Rattus norvegicus: one gene and its partners. The main gene of each other region encodes a partner of the protein of the gene in region 3 in a complex. Links are inferred from orthologs where the notes say so. Each region holds a gene or a part of one and is shown on either strand. Other genes may lie near its edges.

Region 1 (3,565 bases), on a different chromosome or scaffold from region 3:
AGACTGCCCCTGTGCTGGGCAAGGGGAGGGGAAATGGAAAAATCTAGAGGTGTGCTCACTTTTTTGGGGGGGGGGGCGTTTCACTTCTTGAAATAAACCGGAAATTCTTTGCATTACCCCTGCCCTGGTGGCGAGGGGGGGGAGAGGAGCTGGGGGGGGGCGCTGGGAGGGTGGGTGCAGGCCTGAATTAATAAGAAGGCAGGTTCACACATCTGTGTGTATCATGGTGGCTCACACTTAAAGCCACAGAAGGGTTGCGTACACAAGTAGGTGGGAAGGGTTGTTATTATGGGAAGCAGCACAAAAACACCTCACCCTGCCTGGAAGTGGCCACCTCCTATAGCCAGGCATGACTTCCAGTGGAAGGATGGGGATGTCAGCCCACCCACAAAGTTTTGCCCTGCCTATAAGATGTGTTTGTAGTCTGGGGCTCCTCAAACATTGCACCTCACAAATCTCAGGTTAATGAAAGTGAAAAAAAGGCATGGGCTGGGCTGTGAGGGGACTCCAGGAGTTTATAAACAGACTGTTGCCATATGAGTTCTCCCTGGTGGGGTGGGAGGGAGGGTAATGAATGAAGGTTCAGTGAAAGAACAGAGCCCTGAGTACACCCTGGCAACGTGGTGTGATTGTAGGTGGGCGATGCATGCACACAACACAGGGAATATTTGGTGGCAGAACACAGGGCAGCTGGTTGTGTTGAGAGCCTTTGGTGTTGGCTAGAGTGGGAGGAAGTGTGTGTGTGTGTGTGTGTGTGTGTGTGTGTGTGTGTGTGTGTGTGTGTGTTCAGACCCCCTTTTATTCTAGAACCAAATATTCAACCTTCTTCCAGAAGGAAATTGTGAGAGAACATGGATCCGTGCTTGGAAGGGAGTCAGCTCGATGTGCACTGTGGAGAATAAAATTTCCCCAAATCCTTGCACCTGGATCTTGACCTATATCAACGTAGGAGCATCAAGATTCTTTCAGTTAAAGTTAGTCAGGATTCAAATGTGGTAGGACTTCTCTCCAATGGGTTGGTTGGACCCGACTCTGTAGACGTCCACCACTATGGCAGCCTCCTCCTGGGGCTCACCAGTCAGGAATAGTTGGCTATTTTATGGAGGCCCTGGGAGTGAAGCCTTCTATAATGGTGTAGTGGTGAGATCTAGAACCTGTTTCTAAAGTGTCTCTGTTTCCTGCCATAGGGTTATGCTCTTTAAGCTCTCAGAAGACATGGACAAGGAGGATTTGAAATCTTTTAAGTTCCTTTTGATCACTGAGATCCCTAAATGTAAACTGCAAGACAACTCGGTAAGACCTAGTCTCCTGAAGATGGGTCACCAGGGTTTCTGAGACCAGAGAGCACTGCTAACCACAAACTGTATTCAAGGCTGCATTGTTGTTGTTTTGAGACACGGAATCATGTAGCCCAGGCTAAATCCAAACTTGCTATGTAGCCAAGGTTGACCCAAAACTTCTGATCTTCCTGCATTTACCTCCTGGGTGTTGGGATTACTGACCTGTGCCACGCCTCCTGATTTATATGGTTCCAGGATGTGGAACTCAGAACTTTCTGCACAGTAGGCAAGCGCTCTGCCCACTGAGCTATCCCCTGTGTTCTCACAGGAAGAGAGTGGTTAGGAAAGGTAGTTACGGCTCTAGTGCCTCAGCACAGTGAAGTGTCTTGCTCAGCCCCATGGGGCAGCGCCTGAGAGAGCAAGGCATGCTGTTCAACAACACAGGGGACCCAGCCAAGGGGAAAAGGTAGCCGCGGGTCACATTTCCCCACTTCTGCTGCCCTTGAAACACATCATATTTGCTTGTTTGTCTACCCCTCGCCCCTGCCCCAGTGTGCATTATGTGTCTTTACGAGTAGGTTGTATGATGTATGTGTCTGTGTCTACATGTTGTGTATATTGTGGGTGTTTCTTATGTATATGTGTGGTGTATGTGCCTGAGTGTGTGTACCCCTGTGTGGCTTCTTTGTTGGTCTGAGTCTATACATGTGTGGTGCCTCTGTGTGTGGGTTTTTCTTACTCTGTGAATCAGTGTGTCTTTGTGTGCTGTGTCTAAATTTGATGTATGCTTTGTCCAGATATATCTCTGTGCATTTGTTTCGGATACACGCGAACACAGGTGTGTGGCATCTCTCTGTGTGTTTGGTGCCCGTGACTCTGTGTGTATTAACTAAGGTTTAGAAGTAGATAAGGTACCAGGGGCAATACGGGGTAGAATGAAATCTCCAGGACTGTCCCATCCACATTCCTCAGGCTGGTCCATAGAGGAAGCCTTTCTCATACTGTTTGAGAACAAGACCTGGGGACTGGGTGACACCTGACATGGTTTCTTCATCTTCCCATCTTTTAAAATACTTTTAGGCCTTCCTGATTACTGTCAACTGTGAGAGATCAGGACGTGCTTGGAGGAGGGAGGGGGATCTACTTGAGAAATAAGGCTGAAGAAGTGGGGACTAAACCAAGCCCCTAATCCCAAAGCCCGTGCGCCCCCAGCCATTCATGCTTTCGCTCTCCTCCACAGAGCCTGCTTGATATTTTCGTAGAGATGGAGAAGAGGACTATCCTGGCAGAAAACAACTTGGTTACCCTAAAATCAATCTGTTTCCGGGTCAACAGGAGCTTGCTGGGAAGGATCGACGATTACGAACGATCAAGCACAGGTAGCTAGCTAACCACTGCGAGTCAGCAAAGCCCTCAGAGAAACAGCTGTTTCTGATCAAGTTTTTCTTTTTCAATTCAGAGAGAAGAATGAGCACTGAAGGAGGGGAAGAGCTGCCAGTTTCTGTTTTGGATGGTAATGCCTGCAGATACACTCCTTAGATTCTGAGGTGCTTGGTTTCCGATTTCCTCTCTTCCTCTTCCCACCACCTTCTGCCACATCCTGAGTAAGATGAAAGTTCAGTGGCTACTTGCCACCTCTGCTTGTCACCTCTGCTTGTCACCTCTGCAGCTCTCTGACAGCCCCATGGAAACATCTGAAGTGAACCCACAGTTACTCTATAAGAGGGTCTTAACTCTGCTCTGGCCTCTGCTTTTGAAGAGAGTTGGAGGGAGCTAGACTCGAATTATTTTCCTGAACATTCTTTTGTTTTGTTGAGACAGGGTCTTTCTACATAGTCCTAGTTGTTTTGGAACTCTCTATGTGGACCAGGCTGGCCTTGAAATCACAGAAAACTACCTAACTCTGTCTTGAGTGTTAGGATCAACACCTGACTTTTTTCCAGAGCACTCAAGTTTCTTCAAGTTTCTCTGCTCTGTGAGACGCCCCTCAGCCAAGTGTGCATAGTCCTTTTAGTCTCCTGTTAAGTCCAGGCTCCCAGGTTCACACTTGCCCGCGTTCCTCCATTGTGTGCCTGCCTCACCCTAGTATACTCAAGCCAAGTTGCCTATCTCATCCCTGTCCTCTGCTTTCTTACCTAGGAGTCGAGGTAGAACAAACAGAAGGGTTCCTCCAACGTTTTGTTGTTGGAGCAGGGTGTCTCAGTTAGGAGTTCTATTACTGTGAAGAGACACCGTGACCACAGCAATTCTTATAAAAGAAAACATTTAACTGGGGCTGGCTAACA
Region 2 (3,565 bases), on a different chromosome or scaffold from region 3:
GATACCTTGTTTCAGGCTCTCCGATTGGACCGGGTGGCTGCTTGTATTCTGTGGTCAAATAAAAATATTAACTACATTGTATGGTTTAATAAGATCACTAACTGGACTTAGCAGTGAGGTGGAGCTGCTGGCTAGAGTCTTTGATCCTCTTTAATTAACTAAGTTTGCAGGATAAAGGTCCTAAATGGGCAGCATTGCTACTTAGATTCTCCATTTGTGTATGGCCGAAGATTGGGGTCTGAGGATGGGAAGGATGCTGCTGCTGGGACACTTGGTATGGGCATGACCTGAGACGACCACACACACACACACACACACACACACACACACACACACACCCCACACCAGCCCACCCCACACACCCATGTATAAAATAAAATCGTAGACTTTTATCCCAGTTTGGCTCACGCTGAACCGCAGGCTCGTCACTCTCATCACTTCTCGGTCACTAGGTTTGGGGAGACCAGGTACTCTACTCCAAAGAAATATTGGACACACTTGCCTTTAGCAAGAAGCCCCCCCCCCTTTTTTTCAAACACTGGGGCTGAGTGGTGTGATTTTCTCAATAGGCTGTGGCTAGCAATGTCAGATGGTTCCTTTCAAAGACATTTGTGTGCATGAGATTGCCTATAACCTTCAGGAAGCCTGATATGTTGCTCTGAGGCTGGGTGGGGTCAGCATTCCACAGTGGAGGAAAGGCAGATTTGGATGCTGTGCTCTACACACATGCATATGTGTATACCCTTACCCAGCAAGTCTCAGGTCTTTTACAGAGTAGTAAGACCATAGGAAAGTTGACTATGATTCAAAGCCAACAGATCTGTTGCATGAGGCTCTTAAAGGTGCTATTGGATATTCTGTTTGGGTGACTCCACAGTAAGACCCACTTCATTTTGTTTATGTCTAACTTATCCCTGTTATTCTAGTCTTGCCAGTGTATTCAATATTTCTTAAGGGATGAGGTGAGAATAAACCTTCTACAATGCCTACATTATAGTGGGGTGCCACATGGGCACTCCCTGCCCTTCATCCTCACCATCGAAGTTGTAGAACCATGGGGTTCTCTCTATACAGTACTGTCCCATTTTGGGGGGGAGATAATGTGGTTAAAAATGAAAACATTCCACTCAATCTCTAGAGGAACTTTTCTCAGTCTTATGGTTCTGTTGCATTCAGAGATTTTCCCAATGTGCCTGTCTGTGGATAGTCATGTGTTGTATTCCTGTGAGGACCTGAAGATGGGAAACTTCTAATCCATCACCCTGCCACTGTCTCCTTTCTAATTTTCTTCTTGAAAGTTAATGGTATTTTAATGATATTTTAATTAAAATTAGAATTCTAATGAGAATTCTAATTCTCAGCTATGCTTATCATAGATTTTAATGTGTCTTTTTCTTGTTTCTTCTTTTTTTCTTCTTTTTCTTCTTTTTTCTTTCTTTTCTCCTTCTCCTCTGCCTCTTCCTCCTCCTCCTCCTTCTTCAGCTGAAAGTAAATATGTGACAAATACAAAGAAGAGAGGAACACAGAAAGTAGAAAATAGAAGTCAAGCTAAAAACTGTTCTGTTGCTTCTGCCACCTGCAGTGACAAAGACTTCAAGGGACACTCTGCTACAGAAGTCTGTCCTCAAGTTAAGGTAGGCTAGTGCCACTCTTATCAGAGCATTTTGTCATCACTATCCCCTCATCCACCACATAAAGTCTTCTGCTCTTTGTCTCAGAACATACAAACCAAGAAAACAAGGCTATTATAGGAAAGATATGTCTGCATTACAAAAAGAAAAGTCACTCAAATTTATCAGTGTCCATGCCCAGGAAGCTCCTAATTTCTGCCATGCTCTGGACATAATAACATGTTGCTATGTTAACCTCTATTTGAAGAAAACTCTGCCGGGACCTTATACAGTGAGTAATTTTCAGGGTGCTCTTATCACTAGTTCTTTTGAGAAGGTTTAGGATGAGAGAGAACGGGGAGAGTTCTAGTTCAATAGATTGCAGCAAAGAGTTCAACCTATCCATGGGAGACTTGGGGGCTAAGAATGCCCTTCAGGATTGTCATGATGTGGGTAGAAAAGACAGTTCCTTTAGTCACGATGTGCCTGCTCTTATTGTGGTGAAATAAATGGCTCTTTGTAGCAGAGGGAATAAAACTGGAAGACAGTCCTTGTCCCTTAGTCCTAATAAAGTAGCATGTACCACAAAATCCACTAAGCATCTTCAATTTCATTTTCTGTAATGAAAATGTCACGTAACTTTACAGAGGAGTCAGCTTAGGGTATGGGCACCATTCTATGTAGAGCACCCAACCATTTCTTCTGTGTTTGGCTCAGAAATTTCCAGAATTGTCAAGAAAACAATACAGTACCCAAGTTTAAATGTTACAATTGAACAAGTAGACATAAAAATACATATTGTATAGTCTCTGAAAAATCCAAATAAAATGCCTAGGACTGAAGACATATTCTAAAGTAGTTCTCAGTGCGGGAGCTCTGTGCACACCACTTATTGAAGAGCCAAATAAATGCTCAGCATTGGAGGGAAAACTATGCTGTCATAGAATCACAAGGAGATAGAATCTAATTCAGCCCCTCACAATGATTCGGGTGTCTGACACAGTCTTTTCATAGCAAAGAAGGGTTCTGATTCAGGAATTTTGTCTCCAGAGTCAGTGCACTGCCCCATCTGAATACTGAGCGCAGAGCATTCCTTTGATGTCCTTTCAATCTAGGTAGTTTCAAGTCTCTACTCTCTTCCTAACGTCTCCATTTTCCCTTCAGCTCAGCTTCTTTGTTTCTGGGGCCTTCCTGAGAATGAAGGCTGCCTGAGTGGATCCATAGCTAACATCTTCTTTCTCTTGTCACAGCCTCAGAAGAAACAGATGGTGGCAGAACAGGAAGCCATCAGAGAAGATTTACAGCAAGATTCACTAGTAGTCATGGTGCTGAAAGCTATGAATCCCTTTGAGTGTGAGACCCAGGAAGGAAAACAAAAGATATTCCATGCCACAGTGGCCACAGAGACAGAATTTTTCTTTGTAAAAGTTTTAAATGCACAGTTTAAAGATAAATTTATTCCAAAGAGAACAATTCAAATATCAAATTATCTCCGTCACAGTTACTTTGTGGAGGTCACCAGTTCCTCAGTTGTGGTTGATGTTGAATCTAGCCACAAAGTCTGCGTTCCTAATAACATTATGAAGAAAGCTGGAGAAACTCCTAAGATTAGTAAACTGAAAACTCTGCCGTGCGGGACAATTGTGAATGGCTTATTTAAAGTCCAGAAGGTAAGTTCCTATATGCAATTTTATATTGATCAGTAAGAATAATATAACATATAACACCTATTGGAACTTTAGAAATTAACTTTCAATGTTTTCACCCTAAATAAAAGATAAAACAATAAAAATAAATTTAAGAGTTGATTTTAAATAGTTTTAACAATTTTTTTTACACAAAGTTAAGGGTTTGTAGGGTGGTAATTTGCCAAAACTTGTGTACAAAGCTGGGAAATTTTTATTTTGTTATTTTGATTGTTCTGCTTTTGGAGACATGGTCTTACTGTGTAGCTT
Region 3 (4,365 bases):
GGAGGCAGGTGCTTCGTGGGAAGAGAGCCCTGGGCTTGCATCTACCCACCACCTACTGCCTGTGGCCTGGGATACTCGTGAAGCCCAGGGACATGGCGAGGGTCTGTCAGAAGCACATATTGGGTCATCTTGGGGACAGTGGTCCTCTGGAGACCAAGCGGATGAGGCTCTCACCCTAGAGACTGGCGCAGACTGACGCAGGGGTGTCAGAGCCCACATCTCACCATTTAGAACCTCTCTCTTCTAACAGTGAGTCTGGCCTCTGACACTCCCATGGAGCTTCAGGGGTCTGGGGAGGCCTCCAGCATGCACCGAGATGCAGGCCAGGACTCTCTGGAGCTGCACCCACATCTCATTAGGGTCTTGGGACTGGAAGAAGGATGTGTCAGTTGAAGACAGGAGATGCCCTGCTCCATTAAAAACAGAATAGTTTCTCCGGAGAGCTGGGGGACAGCACATTAGGCTGGGTCCCAGGGCTTCCGATCTGCTTGGGTCATGGATGCTGTCTGTTGAAGGTTGAGGCTGCTTCCTTTCCTGTCTCTGTCTGAGGGTTGAATGAAGGCAAGATGGCTCTGGTGTGGGGGGGGGGGGGGCGGGGGCAGTGTCAGCACTTGGAACTGTGGGTCCTTTCTTCTCCGTGGCTCTCAAAGTCACCCGAAGGCTCTGAGTGAATCCTTACTTACCGTCAGCCCTCACTCTCGCTGTGACTATTGCCTGGGTTGTGTCTTTGACCCTGCTGTTGTCTACTGCAAGCCTTCTATGGCTAAGCCCTAGGCTCAACATTAGCTCCATTGGCCGGGAGAAATCCAGAGACAGAGAGGGGATGGCCGAGCTCAGATTTGAAGCCAAGCCTGAATCTGGGCTTGCCTATGACAAGATGGCTCTTAAGGGGTGTATGTGGTGGTGGGGGGAGGGGCTTCTGCTCTGCCGACGTGACAGATTACCAAGGCTAGGCTGGGCAGCGGAGTCCTCAGGGATCTCGGGAGCCCCATCTCCGGAAGCCCCATCTCCACCTAAGGACCACGTCGCTGGCGCCGGCGAGGACACTCGGCCCTCTTTCTTCAGGCGGTAAAGGACTTGGTTGAGGATTTTCTTGGGCACTTGTAACTTCTTCAACAGCTGGTCGATCTGCACAGGACTACCAGCATCACTCAACACCTGCAGGATCTTCTGCTCCAGGTTGTCTCGGGGAGGAACACAGAGAAGAACTGAGTCAAGCCTAGTCCCCGGGGACACCCTGCATCCAAGCTTCCGGGCACAGGAGGGATCTCCGGAGAGACCCTAGAGCAGAGAAGGCACCCGTGACCTGGGCCAAGCAGACAGTAAGCGAGGATACCAGTCGGAGGCGAGGGTGTCAGTCAGGTGAACGCTGGCTCCACAGATAGATGTCTGGAGTGGTAAAGTCATATGCAGCCTGCCCTGTGTACTATGTGGAAGTCAAGCAGGTAGGAACCCTCAGCCCTCAGACGATGGAGCAAGAGGGAGAGGTGTGAAACCAAGTCTGGCCCTGAAGTCCCTCCGTGGTGTCTTGATGTCTCTCCCAGCCCGGCCAGGGACTCCCTTTCTCTCCAGCTCAGCACCCACATCTATGGTGTGGGTGTTCCCAGGTCAGGAGTCCAGCAGATAAGAGAAATGGGTCTCTCCTCCCATGCCTGATAGAGCAGGAGCCCCGGAAAACCCAGCTCAGTTCTTTTACCTGGGCCTTGAAGCCATCTTCCAGATGGCCACCAACTCCAGAAAGCTTGCCCCCAGATCCCTCCACCGGGAGCTTCGATGGGCCTCTGCTAGCCAACCAGCCTCCTCTGTGCCTAACCCCGAGGGTCCCCCAAGTCCCACCTCATGCTCCTTTCAGCAGGTTCGTCTGCTTGTCCGTGTGTCTGCCTTTAACTTTCTTTCTTTCCTCTCCTGACAAAGTCTTACCATATAGCTCAGGCTAGCTTGAAATTCACAGCAATCCTCCTGCTTCAGCCCCAGATCCACCCCCACTGCAGTGCTGGAATTAGAGGACTTAGCATCTCTATTCCTGGGTTGGCTTTGCCTTGCCTTGAGAAACCTTTGCTGGGGAGTGTGTCGTGTAGCAGGCTCCCCTCCCCTCCCCTCCCCCACTGACCCCTAAAGACACACAAGAGAGGCAAAGCCTTCCCCAAAGGGTGGGCTTGAAGGACTGGTTGCAGGGTCTGAAAGCGGGACGTTAGGAAGCAGAAGACTGGAGTTGGTAAGGCTGGACAGGTTAGTAGTGTTAGGAAACTACAGGAGTCAGGCGAGTTTTAGTTCCTGGTCTTCTTTGCCCAGGAAAGAAACTGGCACCTGGCCTGGCCCCTCCCTGATAGCTTATGAGCAGCAACTTCTAGTATGTTTCCAGGTCTGAAATAAGAAAGGATAACCCAGAAGGACCTAGACAAGCAGTAAATTAAATCCTGTCCACAGCATCGCAGCCTCACACAGCCCTGCACCCCGTAGCCTCCCATAGCCCAGAAGCCCCTAGATGGACTACATGATTGCAGCAAGGATTTGACTAGGGCAGGAGAAAAGCTTGACTACAAAATCAAAGTCACATCTTCCTATCAAAGCAAAGTCCTCTCTCGAGATGACAGTTCAGAGCCCCAGGCCTGTCACAGGCCTTGGTGACCTCATCTATGAGGTAAGAGGACATGAAGGATCTGGGGCACAGGATCCCTGAAGCAAGCTGACTTCTCTGTGGTGACCTCAGAGTCCTGCTGCCGTCTGGGCTAAGGAAACAGCCAGGAGCCGTAGAAACTTCACCCAGGACCCAAAGGTGGTGAAGGAAGAGTTTAACTTACCTCCCGTGCCCAGGTCCACAGAAGCCTCCGCCATGCTCCCAGCAGCCGTGGGGCACTTTTAGGGGTGGGGGTGGCAGGTCCCAGCACTGTGGCCAGGCCTGGGGCTCTGAGTCCACAAGAAAGAATGCTTGTTTGGACCTGCAGACACCAGCTGTTACCACCCCGGAAACTAATACCCATCTGGCTGCACCCCTTCCCCGCCCTCTGGCTTTCTGAAGAAACAGAAAATGAAACTTTGGTGTGATTCTCGAATGAAAGAATTGTCAAAATCAGGGTGGATGAGGAAGCTGGAGTTGGACAGACCATGTGACAGAAAAGAGCGGGGTCTTGGCCTCTGGGGTGGGACTGCCCACGGGAAGAGTGAGACCTGAAGAGGACTCTGAAAGCCCTGTGAGGAGGAAGATGGTGATCTAGGAAAAGGCACCCACGGTGCCTCTCCTGCCTGGTCTAGTACTGTCTACCCACATATGTTTTAGAAGAAGAGACAGACTCCTTTCACTTTCATAAATTCTCAGCGGCCCGAGAACAGTTCAGACACCTCTCTGTCCATATTACGGGAGAGGGGGATGGAGACTCACAGAGATGGCCTTGTGTTCACCACTCAGCCCATAATAATCCCTGAATCTGGGTCCCAGCTACAGGGTGGGGGGACCTGTCTGGTGTGCAGGTCCCTGGTGCACAGGGCGGGACAGGAACAGTCAATGGAGACCAGAAGGAGGTGATGTCTGCAAAGCAAGCAGCTGGCAGCAGGTCCCCAGTCAGCTTTACCTCTCGGAGCCTGAAAAGGTCACCAGGCAGGCCACCATCAGGCCAGATCCGCACAGCTTGGGAAAACTTTAACATTTCCAAGTGCTTTTTATGACTTCCAGGGAGGAAAAACAGTGCCTGCAGAACCAGCCAAGGAAAACAGAAACTGCACTGCCTGTGGCACCCAAAATAAATAAGGTGGCTTTTAAACAAGCTCTCAACCTGGCCTGTTGGGGGACATTGCCCCAGTTCCCTAGAGATGTCATTTTGGAGACTGACCACTAGGTGGTGCCTGCTCACCAACCGCCTGTTGCCCAGGGGGTCTTGCTTGATCCCTGGCCAAGGTGGCTTCAGACTTAACCGGGCTTCAGGACATGCCCGCTTTCCTCGCTTCTTTCTTGAGCATCCTTTACAGGTCTTCCCTTCTGTTCCTTACATTAGCAGACCTGGAAGGAGTCAGGGCCTCCTAGGTCAGCGGTTCTCAACTGTCCTAACTCTGCAACCTTTTAATACAGTTCCTCACGCTGTGGTGATTCCCCAGCCATAGGAATTACCTTCGTCAACACTTCCTGACTGGGATTTGGCTACTGTTATGTAACTGTAACGTAATGTAAAGATCTGTGCTTTCCAAGGGTCTTAGGCGACCCCTCTAAAAATGTCCCTCAACCCGCAGAGTACTCTATACATAATATATAAATCTTAAGACTATGAAAGATTTATTTATTGATTGATTTTAGGTATGTGAGGGCTCTATCTGCATATACCCTGCAGGCCAGAAGAGGGCATCAGATCCCATTACAGATGGTTGTGAGCCACC

The links. The genes of interacting proteins can lie anywhere in the genome.
Region 1: Zbp1 (region 3) and Casp8 share a complex: the UniProt entries of both Homo sapiens proteins name them as parts of the AIM2 PANoptosome complex. The link is inferred for Rattus norvegicus from reciprocal best matches to the Homo sapiens genes ZBP1 and CASP8.
Region 2: Zbp1 (region 3) and Aim2 share a complex: the UniProt entries of both Homo sapiens proteins name them as parts of the AIM2 PANoptosome complex. The link is inferred for Rattus norvegicus from reciprocal best matches to the Homo sapiens genes ZBP1 and AIM2.

The regions. Positions count from the first base shown.
Region 1 is NC_086027.1:67,788,987-67,792,551, forward strand, and holds part of Casp8 (caspase-8), read left to right. Parts: intron 1-1,187; coding exon 1,188-1,293; intron 1,294-2,520; coding exon 2,521-2,659; intron 2,660-2,739; coding exon 2,740-2,793; exon of another isoform or gene 2,794-2,884; intron 2,885-3,565. UniProt on the Homo sapiens protein: Thiol protease that plays a key role in programmed cell death by acting as a molecular switch for apoptosis, necroptosis and pyroptosis, and is required to prevent tissue damage during embryonic development and adulthood.
Region 2 is NC_086031.1:88,433,088-88,436,652, forward strand, and holds part of Aim2 (interferon-inducible protein AIM2), read left to right. Parts: intron 1-1,482; coding exon 1,483-1,634; intron 1,635-1,718; exon of another isoform or gene 1,719-1,758; coding exon of another isoform or gene 1,759-1,902; intron 1,903-2,860; coding exon 2,861-3,280; intron 3,281-3,565. UniProt on the Homo sapiens protein: Sensor component of the AIM2 inflammasome, which mediates inflammasome activation in response to the presence of double-stranded DNA (dsDNA) in the cytosol, leading to subsequent pyroptosis.
Region 3 is NC_086021.1:182,419,183-182,423,547, forward strand, and holds the start of Zbp1 (Z-DNA-binding protein 1), read right to left. Parts: upstream 2,836-4,365; coding exon 2,802-2,835; intron 1,185-2,801; coding exon 945-1,184; intron 1-944.